2 linked regions of the Xenopus tropicalis genome follow. The protein of the gene in region 1 interacts with the protein of each later gene in a biochemical or structural test. Links are inferred from orthologs where the notes say so. Each region holds a gene or a part of one and is shown on either strand. Other genes may lie near its edges. The genes, in order: hip1r and cltb.

Region 1 (12,470 bases):
GATATGACCGTTCAAGGCATTTTTATACCCCAACAGACTTTTTTATAGTATAACCTTATTTTAGTCTGGTCTGCAATATATTGCATATTAGATAGTTGGCTTATTGTGTAGAAAAAGTCAGCACTGCCCTATAAGTTTTTAAATGACTTCTCCTTCTCTTTATTACATATATTGCATATTAAGGACCTAGTTGGCTGTGTTTGCATAATTTTCCTTGTTGTAAAATGGATTTTTATTTTGTGCTTTCTTTGTGTATTGCAATAATCTCTTTATTATGTTTAGGGATCTTCAAATTGAAAATCTGCAAAAGGAAATAGAATTACTACGTGCTGAACTAGAGAAAATAAAGCTGGAGGTGAGACTATCCTTTAATTAGTATGCTAATGCTAGAATTAGAATATTAGTAAATTGTTCAGTACTTTTTAGCTCATAGAGATATAATTATAATACTACAACAACAACAATACTACAACGGATATATTTTTATTTTGCTTTTCTTAAAGGGACAGTAACACCAAAAAATGAAAGTGTATAAAAGTAATTACTATATAATGTAATGCTGCCCTGCACTGGTACAACTGGTGTGTTTTCCTTAGAAAGACTACTATAGTTTATATAATAAAGCTTCTGTGTAGCCACGGGGGCAGCCATTTACAGGAGAAAAGGCACAGGTTACTTAGCAGATAACAGATAAACCCCATTATATTCTACAAAGCTTATCTGTTATCTGATATGTGCCTGTGCCTTTTCTCCTTTTTCCCAGCTTCAATGGCTGCCCCCGTGTTGACATAGCAGCTCATTTATATAAACTATAGTAGCATTTCTGTTGCAAACTTACCAGTTTTACCAGCGCAGGGCAACGGTACATTATATTTTAATTACTTTAAAACACTTTTATTTTTTTGGTGTTACTGTTCCTTTAAGTATAAGCTTCAATAAGCTTGGTATGCAGTGCCTATGTACAGTATCCTTACTTTGTAAGGCACATGTCTTTTGCTGTGCTTGATAATTGTCTCCATAAAATGTGCATTTTATTTAAGATACTAAAAATGTTTATCTTAGCAAACTTTTCTTTTTTATGTTCATTAGGCACAAAAGTACATCTTGCAACTAAAAGGACAAATCAACACATTGGAGGCTGAGCTAGAGGAACAGAGGAAGCAGAAACAAAAGGCTTTAGTAGATAATGAACAGTTGCGGGATGAGTTGGAGAAGCTAAAGAAACAGAAACTGGAAAATGAGAAAACACAAGGGGTCCTCCTGGAAGCAGAGAGTAGGTATTCGGCTAAGGGTGACCATACATGGGTCGATTCTAGCGGCCGTTATTGGTTCCTTCAATCGAATCAGCCAGATCTCGATTGAGCAGGTTTGATTTTGGTTCGGGGACCGCATTGGCTCGTTGATGTGGTCCCCAAACCAACAGGTGCCTATACCCGTTGGTTCTAGGACCAAACGACCAAATCAACCCCATATCGCCCACCTGTAGGTGGGGATATCGGTAAAAGATCTGGTCGCTTGGTAACCTCGCCAAGCGAGCAGATCTTAGCGTGTATGGCCACCTTTAGGTGTTCTTTAACTGAAATGTATAAAGAACTAAATATGTGTGTGCCAATTGTGGGCAGGTTTTTTTTAAAAATATGCAGAACTTCTAAATTATACATTCAATTGTGTTTTGGTAGAGAAGATACAAGCCACAGAGTTACGCTATACCAAACTGAAAGAAAAGCACAATGAGCTCATTAATACCCACGCTGGACTTCTTAGAAAGGTAGCTAATTTTATTTTATATCAGATTTGTTCTTTGTCTCCTTTTGTAACTTGTGAATTTGGAAATAACAAAGATAATTTTTATTTATTAATGTAATTTGATTAAAAACTCCAAAAAGGCACAACTGATGCTTGTTTGAAAAGTTTTCTGTTGGTTATAAAAATAAATTGCTTACTGAGTTGTAACTACTCCTTCAGAAATGTTTTAATACATTTTAATCTGTTTAATTCTCATTTGCCTGATTATCATTGTGTAAATAGGATTTATTTATTCCTTATAATTATGTTTTTAGTCATTGTAACTCCCTGAAGTGTTTTACTAAATTTCCACTGAAAACTGGGTGAATTTGATGGTCAACATTAGTAAATTGCCTTTTTATCCTATAGAGCTGTGAATTACACAACTGAATGCAAACACTTGAGCTAATCATGAGCATTAACACTGCATTGATCCTATTTATTTCACTTATTTAAATAAATTGTGGATATTTGAAAAGGTGGTGTAAAGTTAATTTAACATTAATGTATGTAAGGAGTATAAACATTTACTTTATTGTTAAAGGACTTCAAAACAAGCTTCCATCTTTTATTTTATTTTTTTTTTTGTACAGAATGCTGATACAGCAAAACAGTTAACAGTGTCACAACAAAATCAGGAAGAGGTGGCACGTATCAAAGAAGAGCTGGAATTTCAGATGGATCAAGTGAAACGAGAATCAGATTTGAAGGTTATTTAAAGTGGCTTTCTAGTTAATAATGTGATTTAAGCTATCTTAGATATATACTCTTGAACGTTTATTACAGAACAAATACATAGAAGGCAACCAGCTTTGTAACCCAAGCATACACCTAAAACACCTTTGTAAAAATGAGCACTATATACAGGTATGGGACCCATTTTCCAAAATGCTTTGGGACCTGGGGTTTTCCGGATAAGGGGTCTTTCCGTACTTCGGATCTCCGAAGTAAAGTCGGCTAAAACCATTATTTAAACAGTAATTAAACCCAATAGAATTGTTTTGCCTCCAATAAGGATTAATTATATCTTAGTTGGGATCAAGTACAAGGTTCTTTTTTATTATTACAGAGAAAAATGAAATCATTTTAAAAATGTGAATTATTTGATTAAAATGCAGTCTATGGGAGATGGCCTTTCTGTAATTCGGAATTTCTGGATAATGGGTTTCCGGATAAGGGGTCCAATACCTGTATAGGACTTGAAATTACATTCTGCCTATGTTTTACATTTTAGAAAAATACCTCATTTTCCTATTTACATTGCTAAATGGCTGTGGTGGCTATGAACTGGTACAGAAGCCTAAATCAAAAAAAGTGTAACATTTCTAACCAAAAGGTGTCCATACACGAGCCAATAAAAGCTCTTTTCTTTCTAATTACATAGATCGGTTAAAACCGGTCCTTATTCATCTCGTATATTAAGTGCAATGCACATATTTTCTGCCAGATTTCGAGAAACAAATAATCATGCAGATAATGTTTTCTTTCATTTGCCTGTTTTTAAATCCAGTTGGAGGACCAAAGTTTTCAGACTGAACAACTGAAATCAGAAATTGAAGCAAAGAAAAAAGAGTTATTACTTATCCAGCAATCTCTATCAAGTACTGAGGAGGTAGGTAGTGTGTATCACTGTGGTTACAAAAGACAATGGTTATTGATATATGATTTGCTAATAGTAATTATAAGAAGGATTTTGCAAATCAACTGGAAAACTTAAAACCTGCCAGTTTTGCATAGGTTGATCCACACACCTTGTGCTGTTATCTCGCTTAAGTGGAGTGTGCAATTGAGGACAATTTCAATAAAACCATAGCTTTAATAGTAGTCTAATTAGTTCTCATCAAGTTGCTGTTATCCTGTGTTTTTATGTGAAAATCTACATGCTAATCTGCAACCTTAAATAAAAAGTTTATGAAATAAATAATAATAAAGTTTCAGGTAAATGATTTTTACCATGTTAGCCCGTTATAATTCTTTCAAGTGCAACTTTTGGTATGAAACATAACAAGTGGCATAAAGGTTCTTTATCGAATAACTAATATGATAATCACAGCAAGCTTTCAGAACATTTCAGTTAATCAGCTTTGAAGAAGGTTTGCTGTAAATATCATATTAGTTAGTCAATAAAGGTATCACATTTACTCCACTTTTAAATCGAACAATATTTTAAAATATGGCAAAAGAAAAGCTTAGCATAACAAATTGAGGAAGTCTAAAAGACAGGAGGCGATAAGAAAGGCAGGTAGGCCACAGGATAATGAGGAAAGGGTAATAAAAAGAATCAAGTTGCTGATGGTACTGAAAGTGTTGAACAAGGCACACTGGTGTTACAAAGGGGCTATTCCTTAAAGTACTATTCCTGCTGACCTTAACCCCACCCTCATCCAACCTAAAACCATCCTGGCCCAATGCGCTGCAATGATATATACCCGCACCTGACCCATCCATTATCTATCATTAAAGGGGGTAAGGCAGGCATTAAGGATCCCTCTAATTTCTTCTTGGCTATGTTTGAAGAAATTTATTTTTTGCACACTTTTTAAATGCTGCATGTGCACTGTAAAAAAACAGTGCGCAGTATACAAAATTGTGTTTTCGCACCACAATTTTTGTGTGCTGGTCTCAAACTTTGTGTGTGCACTCACAAGCACACAGCTTAGAGGGAACATTTGGCGGGCGTGCATATATATATATAAATAACAGTGGCATGCAGTTTCAACACTGACAATAGTGGGTTGGGACAGCTTGGAAGGTAGGAGGTGCTGGGATAGCAGTAATTGAGGATTGCAGCCTGTCTGCAACACGCTGCAGGGCAATTGTTTAGCCTGAACCTGTGGGTTTTGAGCCAACCCTCACATCACTAATTACCACATTTATTTTACATGTATATTTACATATATATTGTTTTTCATGTTACTAGCCAGCTTTTAACATTTTGGTTTGTATAACGTGACTGAATATTGTGCAGTTTTGTCACATATCTAATATCAAAGTTTTTGGGGATAAGACTCTAACATGGACCACGGGTCATAACAGTTTAGTCAGAAATTACTAAATTCTGTGACCGGAGCATTGCATGCATAGCTTACCTACATTTTTCTCTTTTAAACTTATTAATGGCTTATCTTTATATGCATACATTTAACACTGCATTTCTGAACATTTTTCAGTCTAAATCCCAGCTTAACTCAACATTAATGTCACTAGAAGTGGAGAAGGACACTCTAAAAAGTTTGTTGACCACTAAGGAATCGGAACTGTCTTCTGCTCAAAACCTGGCTCGAGATACAGAGACTTTATTCAATCAAGAGCAAGAAAAGAAAGCCAGTGAAATAAGAGACTTGCACGAAAAACTCAACAAAAAGGTGTCTGAATTTGAAAACATATTATACTGTTTATGTAGAATTACATTTCCGTTCCCAACTAAAGTAAGAGCTGCATCAGTACTGAGCAATATGTATGATTTTAAAAACCTTATATGGGCTTCTAGTTATAAATGCTAGGCATTATATTTAATGTTGGTTACAGAGCAATATAATACATTTCAATAAAAAATATATTTTTCTAATGAAATGCCATCTAGTAACTAAAGGTGCTCTATCATAGTGTGATAATCATTGAACTCCTGGCCCATAGTGTTCCTTATAATTTTTTGTATGCTGTGTGTGGCTTCTAGCCAGTCTCCAAGCTTGTATATTAACGTTGCAAATGACTGCAATTTCACAAATTATTTTCTCTAGGTGGGATTTTGCAAAAGGTTTGAATTTTTGTCACAAACAGAAAAGCATTTTGTTAAGTTTTGGCACCCCTGGTCAAAGTACATGCATATTTGCTAAGAGGTTAGCATAAACTCTGTAGGGAACAAACTTATAAACAGTAACATTTTGCATTTCTGTGAATAATAATGAAGGAGTTAGGAAAAAACAAGAAAGCATTTGGTGGCATAAAAGTAGATAATTTCTAATGGGTTTTTATTGGAAATTGAAGTGTTTTGTTGCAAGCAATTAGAAAATGTTTGGATTTTTGGCCTTACATATAAACTGTATGGAACATGTTATTACTATTAATGCAGCGCTGCACTGTTGATTTTGTTAAAGAGCTTCTGTACTGCCACATATACCGAGAGAGAGAGCACAGTATGATCTTTCCATAGGCTGGAAACTGTATTACTCCAGCTTATGGAAGGCTTGGGCCTCCACAAGCCCAACAAGAAATGGCTCTCCCTGTTTAGGCAACATTATCCTAAAATATGTGCAATACAGTGAAAATCCAAACTTTAACAAAAAATCTGGCTGTGCATGTGTCAGCCTCAGGGGACTGAAGAAGGAAGACGAGGATGGCTTTGTGTTGCTCACTATAAAACTTTGGGCCTGTGCAGTTTTCCTCTAACAGGAGCAATGGCCCAGGGTATTAGGCAAGTGATTGTAAATCACTTGTGGTGCCAAATGGCTGCACTTTTCTTCTCCTTTAAAGAAACAGTAACACTAAAAAATTAAAATGTATCAAAGTAACTAATCTATTATGTACTGCTGCCCTGCACTGTTAAAAGTTGTGTGTTTGCTTTAGAAAGACTACTATAGTTTATATATAAACCGTGCTGTGTAGCTATGGGGACAGCCATTCAAAAGAAGAAAAGACACAGGTTATATAGCAGATAACAGCTAAACCCTGAAGAATACAATGGTGTTTTATCTGTTATCTGCTACGTAACCTGTGCCTTTTCTCCTTTTTTCCATCTTGAATGCCTGCCCCCATGGCTACACAGCATATTTATATAAACTATAGTAGGGTTTCTGAAGCAAACACACCAGTGTTACCAGTGCAGGACAATAGTACATTAAATTTGAATGACTTTAAAACACTTTTATTTTTTGGTGTTACTGTTCCTTTAAGTTTTAGCCATATAATTACTGTGATCTTCTTAAACAGTAACACTAGAAAGGTGCCTAAACCTGGAAAGGTGCCTAAACTTTTGCACATACTATTCGCAAACATAAAGAAACTTAAACAAAAACAATGTTTACTTTTGTTACCTGCAGAGTTTTTTAACTTATTTTCACTTGGAAAGTCATGTAATTTCACCAAGGGTACACAACTGTACTTTGCCAGTTTTCATGGCTCAGATTCTTTTTTTAACTGTAACTTGTTTTGTAGTTTTAATTGTATTTGTTTTTTTATTGTTGCTGTGAAAGACTACTGATGAACAGAAGCTTTATCAGAAGATGTTAGAGGATCAGTTTAACATTATTCAGGGAACCGTGAGAGAAGCAGAGAATATTATTCAGGATGCTGTTGCCAAACTTGATGACCCCTTGCACATTCGCTGCACCAGTTCTCCAGGTACATATTTTAAAGCAAACTTAAATTTGTTCTTTTTATGTGAATATTTGAACTACTGTGCAATCTACTTTAAAGTTTATTTAAAAAGTATTTTAAATACTTGATATGCTAAACATTTCCCCATTTATAATGCACAAATGGGCTCCATGCTTTTGCTTTTGTTTTTTTGTGTGCAGTCTTCTAGAACCAGTTTCTAAAGTACAATTACTGGATGGTGCATAATATTTAATTGGGATCATTCATCTTACTAAGTAATTTTTTGTTATTAAGAAAAATTGTTTTACAGTTACAAGAATGTTTCAATATTTTGTTTCTAGCCCCTCATCATAAAAATAACCAGTTACAAATACTTAAACTGAATCCGCTTCCAGAAATGTAAACCATACAGCAGATCTCTGTGAAGCTAAGGCACTTGGAGTTAAAGTGCACCTGCCGCTATTGAGTTAATTGAGTTATTTTTAAATTTTTAAAGTTTTATTTAAATTATTAACCAAATAATAAAATAAGTCGAAATAATTAAAAGCCTGACTTAAATTTGGTTGCTGCCCTTTGCCACTGAATAAAGCTTCATTATTTTTGCTTTTGCAGATTACCTTGTCTGCAGAGCACAAGCTGCATTGGATTCTATCCCTCACCTTGAAAATGGACACGCTAAGTATATACAAAACATGACAGGTGAGTTTCATACGCTGGCAAATGCAAGAGAAAGCCATTTCCAGCATATGTTCTACTGCCAGCGTTTCACATGACAAGCTATTTGTCGCTCATGGATTGCGCAGGTTTCCTGTGGGCGACAGAGTTTACTCTGGGAAAGGGGTGCCAGCTTGTTAGGAAACCCCCCTATTGAATGAAATCATTTTCCTCAAACCAGTAATATTCTTATGTAAAAAAAAAAAAACGGCCATTTTTTTTTTCTCAGGCCACTTTGCCACCATTTTAGCTTGTTCTCCTAGGATGGAGGACACCAAATTGCAAAAGTTGTATGACTGCTCCATTATTCCTCCCCCTCACCTCAATCCAACAATTTTTGATGCAGCCTCCAACATTTAAGGGTAACTTGATTACCATGTTTTTTTTTCTGAGGACATTGCAGTGGCTGATCCTTTCCATGCCCTGTTGCTTTCTACCTCAGTAAATGTGTTCGGTGCCATCTAATCAACATCCCACCAGTATCATGTCACAGTATTGGTGATCAGTTAATATGCTTCATCATTTACCTGTCAACAAGGTAGAATCAGCATTACTAACACTAGAGTGCCAGGTGACAGACTATATATTTCTGGGTTCTGTGTAGAGTGGCCACCTCAACCCTTTAAAGGAACAGTAACACCAAAAAATGAAAGTGTATAAAAATAATTAATATATTTTGTACTATTGCCCTGCACTGGTAAAAGTTGTGTGTTTGCTTCTTAAACACTACTACAGTTTATATAAATACCCTGCTGTGTAGCCATGGGGGCAGCCATTTAAATTGAAAAAAGGAGAAAAGGCACAGGTTACATAAGAAGATAACAGATAACTGTGTAGAATACAATGGGAATCTGCTACTTATCTGTTATCTGCTTAGTAACCTGTGCCTTTTCTCCTTTTTTCAATTTAAATGGCTGCCCCCATGGCTACACAGCAGCTATTTCTATTAACTATAGTAGTCTTTCTGAAGCAAACACACAACTTTTACCAGTGCAGGGCAACAGTACATTATATTTTAATTATTTTAAAACATTTTTATTTTTTAGTGTTACTGTTCCTTTAATTCAGCCAAATATTTACTTGGCTAATTAGCAGTTAACTTTGGTGCATGCTGCAGACTGAACTGATTTATGTGCAGCCATATAGTATGCATCTGAAGTAATTGCTAATTACCTAGGCAGGATGTGGGCAGTTATAAAGGGGTGAGGTGGCAACCCTAGTTCTGTGTAACACAGCAGTGCCTAGGGTTGCTACCTCACCGCTTTAATACCACCCACATATTGAATCCACATCCTGCATGGCTAGTTAGCAGTTAATTTACATGCATGCTGCACATAAATCAGTTCAGTCTGCAGCAGGCATCTAAGTTAACCATGTAGGATGTGGATTCAATATGTGGCTGGTATTAAAGTGGTGAGGCTGCAACCCTAGCAGTGCCCAATCCAATTTTGTGGATATACCAGCTGGCAGGCAGGGTAAAATGTCCATTTGTTAATTTTGTGTGTTTTCTTGCCAGTTTCTTTGTTTGGGGTAAATGTAACACCGGTTTAAATATACTGATATGTATGGTTTAGCAGTGTTAAACTTAATTTCTTTTTATTTTGTTTTTAATAAAGATGCCTCTGACTTAGTGGGAGCACTTGCCCAGTTTGCACACTTAACTGCAGACACTATTGTAAATGGCAGTGCAACTTCGCATTTGGCTCCACCTGATCATGCTGATCGTAAGTAAAACTTATTAGACCAAAAAATGTAAATAAACGAATTGATGGTCACCAGTCACTCATCATTTGGTGTTGATAAACATCTGCAGAGATGTCTGACAGGTCTGCATGTAGGACATTTTTCAGAAATATTCTTATTGGATGACTTGGTCACTCATGTGGCCACCCTTACTTTTCTGAACCCCTTACAGTATTCCTTATCAATTTTAGAAATGCATTCAGTATTTATTTGTCACTATCAATTTCAGGGCTAAATGACAGCTGCAAAGAGTGTGGAAACCAAAGCTTGGACTATCTAAGTAGCCTAAAGAATAAACATTCCCTAAAAAATGCAGACCTTGCAGAAGTCAACAGATCGCTGAAGAGAATCTTTGATCTGGGACAGGTAGACTACTTAATAAACACCCTGACTGTGCTGCATGTTTGTTGTAGTCTTGCTGTTATAAGACATTAGAAATTGCCCATTGTTTCTTATGTTATCTCTTCTATGTCTTTGAGGTCAAAATATATATTTGTTGTTAAGATAGAATATCTCTTCTGAGATATGTGGGTGACATTGCTGTTGGGCACCTAACACAGTGATGTAGACTGGGGGGTGGCAGGGGTACCCGAACCACAGAGTCTTTTTTTTTTTTTTTTTTCTCTCCAGTTGTAGTGAAATCCCCCTCCCTGGGCGCACTTCTGCCTTAGGGGTTGCAGAATGCACCGGGCTCCTCCAAAGATTTTTTTTGCAGGGGGCCCAGCACGGTGTAGGCATTTCACCTACATAGATAGATAGTGTTGAAGTTTCTTTTTAACAGGAATTGAGGCCTAAGAGTCTGGATATCAAGCAGGAAGAACTGGGTGACATGGTGGACAAAGAAATGGCCTCAACCTCTGCTGCTATAGAAGCTGCTGTGCGACGGATTGAGGTTAGTTTCTGGTAGTGCTTGATCAAATAAAAAAAAAAAAAGCTTCCTCAAATATGTTGATTGAGGTTTTTTGTTTGTGCAGCCTAACAAATCTAGAGATACATTACCAATAAAGATCCATAACCAGTAGTGAACCTGTTTTGTAAATCACTCATGCATTTCCTAAATACAGACAACATCTCATTTTAATGTTTTGTGTGTATCTGTTTGATAATATTTAAATGTAGTTTTTCTGGTGGAGCAGAAACACACTACAGCTGTGTTAGTATACAGTGCTGTACAGTGGCGTTCACCTGTATCTGACACATCAGTGTTTATTTAGATATTATAATCCAATATAGCCTAGGGTGCATTGAGTTTTATCCTAGTATTCCAAAGTCATTGTTGTTGCAAGGGGGTATTGCACATTGTGCCTAATTTAGTTGCACTGCATCTGCTGTAATTGCCTCCAATTTAGGAAGATTAACACAATGCGTGCACGCAGAAGTCCAACTGTTTGCGCCTGTGCGAAAGGAACCCTGGAGTTACAGCCTGATCAGACGTTAGTTCCAGGTTTTCTTTCGCACCCAGCATCAGCATCAGCATTACATTTGTAAATGGCCCCTTATGAATTGCAACAATATACCTATACAGACTAACCGATAGCTTTTAGCACATTCATGTACCTCACCTATGCTGTAAATATTGACTTTTTCTTTTCAATGCTACAACAGGAAATGATGAACCAGGCTAGAAAAGACAGCTCAGGTGTTAAACTTGAAGTAAACGAGAGGTGCGTTTTGCAAACAAAATAAATAAATAAAAATATATGACTCTTCAGTCTTTAGAAAAGCTATTAAAGGGGACCTGTCACCCACATATAAAAAGCTGTATAAGTAAAGTATTTTGCAAATTAAAGATGAAATTTAAATTCTTTTTCTCTGATGTCTCTGGGGAAGGACACTTGATAGACAGATCAAAGATGGTGTGCCAGGACTACTCCAGCTTTACACCTAGGACTTACTTTTTTGGATTAGTTTTTCAAGTGTCCTGTCCACAGGAGGCTGAACCAGTGAGACCCACCACAAGGAGCCCCTTGGTCAAAAAGTAGCACTGACACCCAGGGCTAGAATTGAGGGAGGAACAGTTAACCCCCAATGTGGGATCGCGCACCCCCAGGGCTATCTATCTCTCAGAGAGAACGGTCTTTTAGATGAAAACCTGTCTTTTGGGGGAGACTAGGGGTTCTGGCTGGGAGACATGCAAAACAGAGAGGTAAGTGGGCTCCATACTCCTGCTCTCCATGGCTGTCAGCAATTTCCACTAGCGAAAGGACTTAATGCCATGACACAACCCTGAATGGAGGTTCTACCTGGCAAACGTGTTTCATCCTCCACTTCCCATGCTCCCAAGGGTACACAAAAAGATACAAAAACCAGACCTACAAGTGATTGTAGTGGCCATGAAGAACCAGGTTTTGCAATCTCCAAGAGTTGTCAGTTGCCGTGCCTGTCCCACTGCCTTATAATGCAGGCCTACTTCATCAGGGACCAATCAATCGCCCCAGCCCAGGCCTGTTCAATTTGATGGCATGGCTATTAAAGAGACCATCTGGAGACGGAAGGATTTCACAGTCACATGTCATAGCCACCCTATTATAAGCCAGGAAACCGGTTTCCACAAAAATCTATGACAGAATTTAGGAAATTTAGTTCCCTTTGAGGACTTCTCTATCCTGTCTATTCTCTCATTCTTGCTGAGAGGTTTGGATATAGGACTACAACTCAGTTCCCTCCAGGTACAAGTTTCTGCGCTCTCTTTTATTCCAATGCAGGTTGGCCCTGGATGACACCATTAAATCCTTTCTGCAAGGAATTACCCACGTAGCCTTCCACAGCATCCTTCTATGTGGGACCTGAACGTGTTGCTGGCCGTACTCATTGATCCTCCATTTTAACCACTCTCATCTGTGGACCTCTAGTGGGTCACCTGGAGGGTCACATTCCTCATGCCCATCTCCTGGGCACGCAGAGTCTTTGAA
Region 2 (12,470 bases), on another chromosome or scaffold:
GGGGCATGCTGCAGTGCTGCCAGGTCTCTTTCCCAGAGTCCGTATCACACTGGCAAATGACACACTGTAGCCCTGTCTCACTGCCAGATTCAAGGTCATGATATCCTGTAGCGCAACCTAATAGCCCTTTATGTGTCCCTCCCGATGGGGACCGAACCGTTACGTTGGCTGTTCATGCTACTTTAAATACATGTTCTCACTTTTCACAAGAAATCCTGGTGTTGCTGGTCTTTTTTTACACTATTGGAACTCCTTACCGAGCACACGAGGTATGTTATGTAACGGTGTGTCATCCTTTGTGTACATATATATATATGAGAAAGGTCCCGATGGGGACCGAAACGTAACGTTGGCTGTTCATGCGTTTTTAATACACAATTGATTGTTTTTGGAATATAACTCGGTGTTGCTGGTCTTTTTTGGAGAGAGAGATATATATATAATCCCTGTGTATATTGACAAACTTGCAGATTTTCAATCATTCCATCATTACCAAGATAATGGCATCAATGCTACCCACTAGTACTACCTCTGCACTATCATCTCCACCACCAGAGGAACTTAACAACCCATCCTCAGAACAAGAGGGTGCATTACCAGAAGGGAAGAGCGATTGGGAGGACAATGACTCCTTACCTGCAATACAGAATTCACACATATCTCAATCAGATGCACTACTTTTTGACATGTTCCAAACCCTGGGTATACAGGAGGAACAACAAGAACTCATAACATCAGATAAACTCTTTGGGTCAACACAAAAAAAGCAAAGCTGCTTCCCCGTACATGACACTGTCACTGAAACCATTCAAAAGTAATGGAACACCCTGTATAAACGTTTGGACACCCTTTACCCCACATACCAAACACACAGAGACAAATGGGATGCCATCCCTAAGGCTGACGCTTGTCTACTTAAAAATAATATCTCCTGCTCCACCTCTGCATTCAAGCCTACCATCGCCTTGGCCTGCATCTCCAGTTTTTTAGTACTCTGGTTGGCAGTTTCTGTTTTTTTATTGAGGAATATTGTTATCCCATAAGATTAGAGTTATCCCAGATGCACATATGTCCATGATAGATGCTAGCCATTCATGTGTGGATTTTTTTCGCCACACTATAATTCACATTGCCATTGATTTTAACATCACTCCAATGTCTTGACAGCTGCATTGTTTGCTCAGGGGACTCCAGTAGAGGTTTATCACCCTGATCACCCCCTGCAAACAACTCACATCTTAACATTCATCTTTTTATCCAGATTGGGCTGAATACAATCAGTGACATCCCTGCTTGAATAAACTGAATAATTGCCCCTTTTGCCAAACAATTGGATCAACCCAGTATTGCCCAGGTGGGCATATTAGAGAAAGATAGACTTATTTGGCCACCTTTAGGGCTCTGGCACACGGGGAGATTAGTCGCCCGTAGTGCTGGGCGGTATGACCAAAAATTTATATCACGGTATTTTTCAAAATTATATCGGTATCACGGTATTTGACGGTATTTTTTTTTCCCCATGCATGATTAGGTGACCACCCCAAACACCCCCCCATCCGCACGCAGCCCCCCCACCCCCCCATCCGCACGCACCCCCCCATCCGCACGCAACCCCCCCACCCCCCCATCCGCACGCACCCCCCCCACCCCAAACACCCCCCCATCCGCACGCAGCCCCCCCACCCCCCCATCCGCACGCAACCCCCCCACCCCCCCATCCGCACGCACCCCCCCCACCCCAAACACCCCCCCATCCGCACACACCCCCCCCACCCCACCCCAAACACCCCCCCATCCCCTTCACATAAATATAACCCCCCACCCCCCCCCAAACACAACCCCATCCCCTTCACATAAGTATAACCCACCCACCCCCACCCCAAACACCCCCCCATCCCCTTCACATAAATATAACCCCCCACCCCACCCCCCCCAAACACAACCCCATCCCCTTCACATAAAATATAATTACTGGCCAGGCACCCCCCGACAGCTCACATTGGTATCCGACTCTGAATGCGTCCTAGCGATGGCGCTTTTGTAGAGTGTGCGCGCTGACGTCACGTGCGCGCTGACGTCACGTGCGCGCTGACGTCACGTGCGCGCTGACGTCACGTGCGCACCCGGAAGTATTCAGCACACCGGTATGTAGAAAATTCATATCGGTTTCAAAAAAAAAACCGGTGATCGGTTTTTACCGGTATACCGCCCAGCACTAGTCGCCCGCAACAAAACTCCCTGTTCGCGGGCGACTAATCTCCCCGAGTTGCCTTCACCTGCCATCCCACCGGCGACAATGTAAGTCGCCGGTGGGATAGCACACGCGGCGGCGCGATTTCGCACAAATTGGCCAAAAATCCTTGCGAGTCTTTTTCGGCGATTTCCCGAAATCGTGCCGCCGCGTGTGCCATCCCACCGGCGACTTACATTGTCGCCGGTGGGATGGCAGGTGAAGGCAACTCGGGGAGATTAGTCGCCCGCGAACAGGGAGATTTGTCGCGGGCAACTAATCTCCCCGTGTGCCAGAGCCCTTAGCCTCCTAAAAAGCAAGTGACGTGTTGCTGGACATATTTTGCAATATCGCCGAAAAAAAAGCAAGTGACGTGTTGCTGGCCATATTTTGCAATATCGCCGAAAAAGACTCGCAAGGCTTTTTGGCCAATTTGTGCGAAATCGTGCCGCCGCGTGTGCCATCCCACCGGCGACTTACATTGTCGCCTGTGGGATGGCAGGTGAAGGCAACTCGGGGAGATTAGTCGCCCGCGAACAGGGAGATTTGTCGCGGGCGACTAATCTCCCCGTGTGCCAGAGCCCTTAGCCTCCTAAAAAGCAAGTGACGTGTTGCTGGACATATTTTGCAGACTGAACCTGGAATTTTACAATGTTATTAATTTTACAAGCATCCATGCATAATACTGTATATTCTTTCTCTAAGAATGGGGATTGGCCTCTATAGTAAGAAAACCATGTTTAAAAAAATTTGAATTAAAAAAAAAAAAAACCAGCCACTGATATTTAAGAATATATATTTTAACATTTACAAATAGGACTATACAAATTTGTAACATTTATAGCCTGATTGTCTCTGATTGTTCTTTCTGATAGCTGCAGTTACCACACAGAATAAATACTAAGGAATTGCACTGATCACTGATGCCATTTTTTCCACCATTAGCTGTGTGTTGTCACAGTGGAGCTACAAAATGAATGAGAGAAGGTGTGACATTCCGCATTGCTAACCTCAGCTGCCTGCTATTATAAGGAATAGGTAACAACATTGTCTCTCTTTATATATAGGCCCCCTAGTCACTGATTAATCTCTGAGTAGAAAAGACCTTGAAGGAAATTGTCTTGGAAACACAAATGCCCTTTGATCTGCAGGAGCGGTTAAACCAGTGGTTCTCAACCTTCCTAATGCCGTGACCCTTTAATACAGTTCCTCATGTTGGGGTGACCCCCAACTATAAAATTATTCCTAAGACCATTGGAAATATGTGTTTTCCGATGGTGTTAGGCGACCCCTGTGAAAGTGTCATTCGACCCCTACAGAGGTCCTGACCCACAGGTTGAGAACCGCTGGGTTAAACCCTTTTATTACATATTTCAGTTTCCTTCTAATATCTATATATATAAACAGAAGTAGCTGCTACCTGGATTTTAGACATGACCCAAATTTTTTAGCGACTTTATGACCCTAACCTAGTAACATATTGATATATGGGTGACTATTCTCAAAGCTGATTAGTGGCATTGCTTAAGATAATAGAAGGGGATGGAGCAGATTGATGAAATAATCTAATCTCATGGCTACCAGTAGTGGGTATGTTTTGTAGTCCAATAAGCAATGCCACTAATCCGCCCTGGAAATAGTAAGCCTTTGACCCATATATCAATATGTTACTAGGTGTATTTGTGATTGTTCTACATGGAATAAAGATGTTACTGTACATAACTGCCTTTCAAGGCAGAGTCTACATTTATCTCCAGCAATACCTTTGGTGCTATCCACATGTGGTCTTATTTCTATACTATCAGATGTTTAATAAAAACTAATATTTTAAATTAAAAAATAATTTCACCTTTTCATATATGGTCAGTGACTACTTTTGCCCATCAGTGGTGTATGCGGAGTATCTTGTGAACTGTCACTCTAGCGCCATCTAGTGCTCATTCATTTTCCTTATGTAACTCAACTATGTGGTTTGTGCTACGTGTATGAGGTCTGACACATCTCCTGAACACACCACAGCAACAGAGCTGGTTAGTACTTATATTCACAGGAGTGCTGTGTGGTTTATTGTCAACTACATTTAAGAATCTTTGCAGCACATATGCTAACACTTTACTATCTTGATCCTCAGGGCATTGCATGTATTACTTTTCCAGTATTCCAAATCACCTTGGTGGTAGCACAGATTAATATCTGCTTGTTTGGATTGTGGATATTTTTCTGTGTATCTGTACCGTGTTGTATTTCATTTTTTATCTTCTATGAAGGCTCATTCATCTAAACTTTTGTTTTATTTGAACAATATTTTTGGTTTGGTCTCGTACTACGGATAAGCTATGCTGTCATCTTTACCTTTTTCCGCCATTTTGTGCTTAATAGTCATTTGCTGTGTAATTTTCACGTTGAGAAGCTAGACAAAACATCAGTCTCCCTCAGTAAAATTTCGGTATTTCTTCATAAGACCTGTGAGTGCGGATCTCTCTACCTGCTTCATTCAGATTCTCCTGCAGCGTTCCACCTTTCAAAAGTGAGTGCTGGACACAATTAACACATATATACACAATATACAAAAACAAAAAAAAATATTATGTCACCAAAGAGTTTTGTAACCAAGCTGTTAATAAGTAAACATGGAGATAATGACACCCTAGAGAGTCTAGACTGATAATCATTTTTTTTATAAAGCATCACTAAGCATTTCCAGCTCACTAAAGGCTAGGTAGTGCACCATAAAGCTCATGAGTTATTTTTGGCTGTTTGCTCATAGGGAAATTAAAAGATATGCAATTAAACATTTGTATTAAACATAACCACCATTTTGGGATATACCTTTTGATACAATAATTTTACCTTAGAATCATTTTAATACAGTATAAGGTTTTAAACTTCTAGTGCCATAGACAATAAATTGTTCAGTGCCGACTCTCCAGGACTGAATTGTAAAATATACAGGGATACTGTGTTTACATGGAAGGATATCAGTGGGTAATTCACCAAGCATCACTTTTTGTGTAAATGTGTTACTTAGCTGGCACAGAAGCTGTAGGAAAAATAGCTTTCTTTTAAAGAGGCTTTATTTATGGTAATGCAGCAAATTAGCTTACGGTAGAGTGAGATTTGTTTGGAATGAGCAAGTGTTGATTTTATATTTAGTATCTATACTTATACCTGGTGTGTCCTTCACTGCATAAATCACAAAGGCACAGTAAGCCATTTATGTATCATAAGAGATGAATGCATAATGTTATGCTTGATGCATGGTATTCAATAGCTGTGCCCTCGAATGATTAATACATTAATTTTTTTTTCCATAAAATTCTCTTTATTTCCCACACTGCTCAGACAGTTTTCAGTCCATCACTTGTGGGTTGAATTAATCACTTCAGTCCTGTCAGGAAGAACTATCAACTATCAAAATGGTCTTGTCCCCCTGCTACTGCTTCTCATTCACTTGAACAGGGAATGCGCCACCTATAGCAGAAACGGGTGCCAGTTGGAAAGTATCACTAGACAATGCAGATGCCCAGGTTTGCAAGGAACACTTTTTGAGCAATGCAAGTGTCAGGCATACTCAGCATGTTTCCAGTGCTGGGGCAAGATACTTGTAATATGCACAATACAGCAAATAAAAAATGTACCTCAAAATATTTGTCAGTCATGTGATATAAATGTGTCATGTTAAAGGCTCTGATTTTCATCTGAAACCTCAAATGTCCAAAATGTTTACCATATTACCATGTTATTTTAATAGCAAGCACAAACCTTTTTATTTTGTTTTAGTTACCATTCCATTAAACTCCATTTTTTTGTGCTTGCAGTGGATTTCAATGACTTTGGGACCATCCCAATGAATGGAGAACTTTACCAGGTGAGTTTATCGCCAAAGGAAGATGTCTAGGTTAGTGGAATGTGAGAGATATCATTGGGTGATTCCCCAAGCATCATCACTTAGTGTGTAAATGATATAGTGTGCAATTTTAATTCTAATAGTAGTTTGGTTTTCCAATAAAATATATGTTTCTCGGATACTGAATGCTGCTGTGGCACAAGTGAGCAGGACATTGTACGTGTGTGATCCTAACTCTAATAATATGGTATTATTTACTAATTATCCCTCTACAAATACTTTGTGTTATGTAAAGACATCTTTAGCAACTTTCTCTCTTTATGTTGTTATACTGTACATATCCACTAATAATCACTCAGTGCTAGGATGAAGCTTTAACACACTTCACTTTATATAACTTAAAGCAAAGTAGCTTGAAGCCCATCTGCCGCATTGTAAAGTTTGGTACTGAGCCAATTGTGGCCCTAAGTTTGCAGCTGGGGGAATTTTGCACCCAGGCCTGTGGGGCTATATTTAAACCTCTAGGTCCAGGCTCCAGGTTTGCTCACTTTAGCTACATTTTTAACATGTTTTTATGTCTTTCCATTGCCAGGAGACTTCTGATTATTCTGATGGATATGCAGCAATAGCACAGGCTGATCGATTGACCCAGGAGCCAGAAAGCCTAAGGAAATGGAGAGAGGAGCAGAAAACACGCTTAGAGGAGCTGGGTAAGTGCTATATTTAGTTTAGAATTCAGTGCACATAGTACCTTGCTCAGTTTGTTGCATGTCAGCTGACAAGCACTTGTACTGATGCTTTCAAGCAACTGTGATAGAGGGAAAAGAAGGGTCGATTTCCGACTAATAATAATAATAATAATATAATAATAATAAACAGAAATATGTGGACTAGCTGGTGCCATTATACTTCAGCCTCTGGAAAATCATATACAGATTAATCATGGTATTTATAAAGATCAAAGAATGATAGACAAGATGAAAGAGAGAAAGCTGTAAAAGAAAACGTTGGAAGAGGTATTGGAAATATTATAACCTCTTGTTTGTACCTTACAGATGCAGCCTCAAAAGTAACGGAGCAGGAGTGGCGAGAAAAAGCCAAAAAAGATTTAGATGAGTGGTATCAGAGACAAAGTGAACAGATAGAGAAAAACAAAGTATCAAACAGGTAAAGTATCAGTGCTTATAGCTGGAAAGAAGTGTCCTGGCCTGGAGTAATGTGCAGCCTGTATTTACTAAATATAAACTTTGTATATGATTATATATATCTGGCATTGGAGAAGGAGATGTGGAAGAAGTGGTTATACTGTAGGTTGTCAATGCAACATCATAAGAGCAGAGGATCTGTGATTATGTATTATTACAGGCTGTACTGGCACAACTATATGTAATACAGGCCCTGTACTGTACAGTGTCAGACAGCATATTAAACTGAATAAAGATGTGAGCTGATAGAATCCAATGGCAAATCAGGTTTTGTAATCCATTACCCCACATTGTTGCTTCCTTTAAAATGCACCACAAGGGGGACAAGTAGTGACAGTAGACTGGGTTTTAGGAAAGGAGAACATGGTAAGGGATGATACACTAGGCCTGCGCAAAGTTGCTGTTACTTTCCTTCAGTCTGTTTCTATTATAACACAGCATCAGAACCTGTAACTTTGCACTGTTTTTCCCTCTTCTTGTTGCTAACGTTACTTCTTGACATCTAACTCAGTCTCTTCTCTCCTGTACCCAATGTCTTCCTCTTTCTCTCTCCTTTTTGTCCTGTTTTGCATGCTGATAACCAAGGATTGCGGACAAAGCATTTTACCAGCAGCCTAACGCTGAAGTTATTGGTTACGTGTATGTTCCTTTTTTTCAGCATGTTTTTTTTCATGGGATTATATGTTAAATGATCATTAAAGGGGAACTTAAATTTCATTTTAGATTCAAAATTTTAGGGAATTTGTATTTTCTATATAACAATTTATGATGAATTTTTAACATGTTTTCAATATTTCTTTTAAACACACCCAAAACCACTTGGCAAGTTCCTGCCAATTCCTGTCTGCTTTATTGCACAGGATAATAAAGTTTTATTGTATTATGACTTATGTACCTGTTTCCTTGTGCCCAGTTTGTGTTGTGATCCTAGTATTTAAGGTTATTTAAACAATGGGTATGCTAATGCTACCAGCTAGTTCTGTGCATTTACAGTATTGCAACAAGAGATGTAACATAAAGCAGACCCAATGTTTTCCAGTGATTATGGTTTTGCTGACTTCTCTTCAAATTTCTCTTTAAACAGAGCATCGGATGAAGCCATGGCATCAGATACAAAGGAAGAAGAAACTGGCACAGAATGGGAGAGAGTTGCCCGCCTTTGTGACTTCAATCCTAAGAGCAGCAAACAGTCAAAAGATGTATCTCGCCTACGATCAGTCTTAATCTCCTTAAAGCAGACACCTCTATCACGCTAGCTTTGCCTCTCCTTTACGCCTCACTCCCCTGCTTTACATGATACCAAAGAAACCATACCTTGAAGGCCCAGGGCAATTAACAGTATATTACACCTACTGTTGAACAGGCCGTTTATTTTTCCCCACAGTGCAGAAATCTACTAAAATAGAAACTAGTTCCAAAATGTCCTTATTTTAGGTTGTTTTCATATAAAAAAAGGCATATGTTGAATAAGAATCTTAGGTTAGAGTACCTAGAGAACCTTAAGTTTTCCCTGAGAACCTGAAAAGGTTGCTTGTTTTTAGTGGTGTATACAGCACAACAGGGGTTGCCTGAATGAAGATGAAACTAGTGTATAAAGTGTAAATCATCCCATAGGTGTCTTGACAGGTAGAGATTGCATGTTAAGAAGGTTCATTTCATAGCAGAGGATTCTACACATATGTACTTGCACCTTTAAGCTTTTTCCAGCAACACAGGTTCAATCATTTTTGTAGCCATTATGTCTTAACCGCCAGCAATAGATTCGTTATGTACAGTTTCAATCATCAATAACAAGAGACACTAAACTTTCCCTGAGATTGGCAAGTCAAAATACAAGGACTGGTTGTAGGCAGTAAGCCATAACGATTAAAGGGGGTGTAAAGTGCATATATAGATTATTGGCACTAAATTAAACAACTTTGTTATGTTATATGTTAATATGTCTGTTTAAAAGCTTTGTACTGTTTTGAGATACAAGTGATCGTTTCTGCAGCTTTCTCTCCTCTCCCTTGATCACGTTCCCTCTTGAAGTTAAGCAGCGGCTTGCTGTCCAGCTCTTAAGTGATTTATGGGCTGCCCCTCCGAAGCTTAACTGCTCATAACTACTTATAGGGGTCAAGGGTGGCCTTACCCTCACATATATATACTTGGTGAGGAACTGCTGCCCCTAAGAACACCAGGGAGTAGGACGGTCAGTGGGTGTTGAACTTCAAGGGGGATCACAATCAAGGGAGAGTAGAGAAAGCTGCAGGAACGATCGCTTGTATCTCAAAGTAGGTACGAACGTTTTAACAGACATATAATGCAAAATTGTTTAATTTAGTGTTAAAAATCTATACACGCATTTTAAAAATGACTTTACATCCCCTTTAAATGACATGTAAACCCCACACAAAAAATGTATACAGTGAACAGTCTCTTTAACATCTTTTAATACCTGCTACTCTGGTTGTTTAAAGGTTAATAGTAAGGTTGCAGCTTCCCCCTGTAACCCACTCGGCTCCTCTCTCAGGAATTTAGTTTGGCTGTAGGCTACTGAGCATGCTCAGTTTTAAACATTACTAAACACGCTCTCCAATCTAGCCGCCAATGAAGAAATAGTGTTGCTGGTTTTCATAGAAACTCTTCTCTAGCTTTCTGCTTCTATTTTTTTTTCCTAACCTCCTGTCCTGAGCTCAGTTTAAGCATTACAATGCTCAATCCAAGCAGGGCTTTTTATTAAAGTAAGTTCTGCCTGTGTAAGCCTGCATTTTTTTTATTAAATTTACACTGAATTTTGTGCACATGTGCTGTTTGCAGAAGTAAATGTCACTGATGATGTGTCAGAGGGAAAATGGCTGCCAGTTGAATGCTGCTATTTGTTTAAGGAAAATGCAATGGTGCTGGTGAACTGAGGGGATATATGCAGTACAAATGATGCAGTTCAGGTGGGAGAAAAGTGCACAACTTATACATGCTAGGAAAATTTTAGGGTTTGCATGCTGTTTAAAATCTGTACTCATCAAGCACTACCAACCATTTAAATTCCATCATCAATAAGTCATTAAACAGTTTCTAGAAATAATAAGGCCTCTTCCATAAGATACCATGTTCAAATTTAGGGGATCTGGAACAGTTAATAAATAAGTTTGGACTGTTAATAATTTCAAAAGACTCTACAAATGGGGCATTTTGCATCAGTGTTTGGTAAGCGTATTCTGTTTGTATTGCTTATTCACCTGAGTGTTGTGTTTTAAATGACAGGGGGTGGGATGTTTTTATTATGTCTAAGTATTGCATTCTAAAATAAAGATAAGATTGGTGATAGAAATAATTTATTGCTGTAGTGTAGTTGTAATTATTTTTGTGTCTTTCATAATATAATACAACATCCTTTTCCATACAATAGAGCAATAACACAGGAAGCCCACCGCAACGCATCTCTCAGAATTCATTTAAAGCCACATTCTGTTCTCATGATCATAATGGAGTACTTTTATAAATTTGTTGTGAACTTGTATTTGTCCTGTGTGTATAGCAAGATGGCTTTTCACTTTATATTTTTCTGTACCTATGTTATTAAGGGAATGGAGGGGCTCCTGAATAAATGTTTGACCACAAATGCGGGAATGAACCCAGAAAATCAGGGACGCAGGCACTGTCATGGGACTATTTATCTAGGGGTCGGCAAGTTAATTTTTTCTTAGCTTTGTGAATAAATATGTGTTGCCCCATTGTAGAGGTAGATGCCTGACACTGTAGACCAGACTAAGCCAATGAAACTGGTAAAGAAATCCAGACTTGCTTCAAATCTACTGAGTTACCGTCAAGGATTTTGAAAAATACAAGTGTACTTTAAATATACTCCAAAAAGAATCAAGGGAATTGGGCCATGGCACATATTTGTTGCCTGCAGTTAAATCTGCTCTGGCAACAAATCTCCAGGAAATGACTTGCCATAGCATAACATTGGGATTACTGTAAAACATTACTTACAGTGATCTGTCTTAGGAAAATGCGAAGGGAGGCAATATAATCTTGTTATAATCAGTATAATCTAAAATAAAATGCTTATTTGTGTAAACAAGTAAATATATGCAAACTGTGAGCATTTATTAAGCACCCTGTTATTAAATAGCACATAAATGGAGACCAACACAGATATTTGCTTTCAGTAGTTTCATGATGATTCCATTCAGTACATAAATGATGTATCTGTATATTATTTACTGGGTTTTTGGGGGTGTAAAGATTTTGGTAGGTCTGTCCTTGTTTCCCTCAATCTCTCGCTTAATTTATGAAATCCATAATGAGAAATGTGTTGTAATAGGAATGTAAACAACCCCAATGTGCTATTAATTGATTAATGTTGTCTGCTTACTCTGTGTCACATCAATAAAATGCCAATAAGTCTGCCTGCACTAGTTATTCTTCTCAAGACTTTTATAACTACTAACTGGTAGGTAAATTGCTGATAGTGTGTGACGTATCGAGAATAGTCTTATATTTGTGTCCTCTACAATAAGGGCTGTGGCACACGGGGAGATTAGTCTCCCCGATATGCCATCCCACCAGCAAGAATGTAAATCGTCGGTGGGATGGCATACGCAGCGGTGCGATCGCCGAAGTTGGGCTTGTTAAAATAAATAACTCCTCCTCTACAATAAGGAAAAGGCCATGGACTAAATGTCTCTTTTTATGATCAGTAAAAAAAAAGGTTATTAGTGAAAGATTTGGAAAAAAAATTGCAGGAATTTTCAATAGTTTGCACTGTGATCACACACACACACACACACTCCTTATTGGAAGTTGTAGCCGATGAAGAAGAATAGCCTCTCCTACACCTCCCACAAGCGAAAAAGAACCTGTGACTGGGCTGGCTCTGAAGAGGAGTGGCAGGAGTGTGTAGTAGATTAGTTCCCACAAGCTTTGCAACCAAAGTTGAATTCAGGCAAGGGTTAGAGGTAGGCAGCAAAGATTCCGGGTCCAGAAACATTAGCACAGGCTGTGTCATAGGACATGTGTGCCATGCTGAACCAGGAAGTGTGTGCCTACCCAGGCTCCAAATTGTGGGGAAAATCGATTTGTTTGAAAAACTTTCACAAATGGGAGAAAAATGTAACATGGGAAAAATTGGAAATTTAAACATAAGAACTATTTAGAGGTTTTGCACTTTATTGTAGCTGTGTAAACAAAAAGCTGTACTGTA

What was found.
Region 2: the proteins of hip1r (region 1) and cltb form a complex in vitro, tested with the Homo sapiens proteins (2 studies listed by BioGRID). The link is inferred for Xenopus tropicalis from reciprocal best matches to the Homo sapiens genes HIP1R and CLTB.

The regions. Positions count from the first base shown.
Region 1 is NC_030677.2:161,472,727-161,485,196, reverse strand, and holds part of hip1r (huntingtin-interacting protein 1-related protein), read left to right. Parts: intron 1-282; coding exon 283-355; intron 356-1,089; coding exon 1,090-1,273; intron 1,274-1,679; coding exon 1,680-1,768; intron 1,769-2,378; coding exon 2,379-2,495; intron 2,496-3,295; coding exon 3,296-3,397; intron 3,398-4,955; coding exon 4,956-5,150; intron 5,151-6,977; coding exon 6,978-7,125; intron 7,126-7,713; coding exon 7,714-7,800; intron 7,801-9,431; coding exon 9,432-9,539; intron 9,540-9,787; coding exon 9,788-9,924; intron 9,925-10,339; coding exon 10,340-10,450; intron 10,451-11,163; coding exon 11,164-11,222; intron 11,223-12,470. UniProt on the Homo sapiens protein: Component of clathrin-coated pits and vesicles, that may link the endocytic machinery to the actin cytoskeleton. Binds 3-phosphoinositides (via ENTH domain).
Region 2 is NC_030679.2:47,560,245-47,572,714, forward strand, and holds the end of cltb (clathrin light chain B), read left to right. Parts: intron 1-6,048; coding exon 6,049-6,098; intron 6,099-6,669; coding exon 6,670-6,787; intron 6,788-7,132; coding exon 7,133-7,244; intron 7,245-7,867; coding exon of another isoform or gene 7,868-7,921; intron 7,922-8,366; coding exon 8,367-8,538; 3' UTR 8,539-10,588; downstream 10,589-12,470. UniProt on the Homo sapiens protein: Clathrin is the major protein of the polyhedral coat of coated pits and vesicles.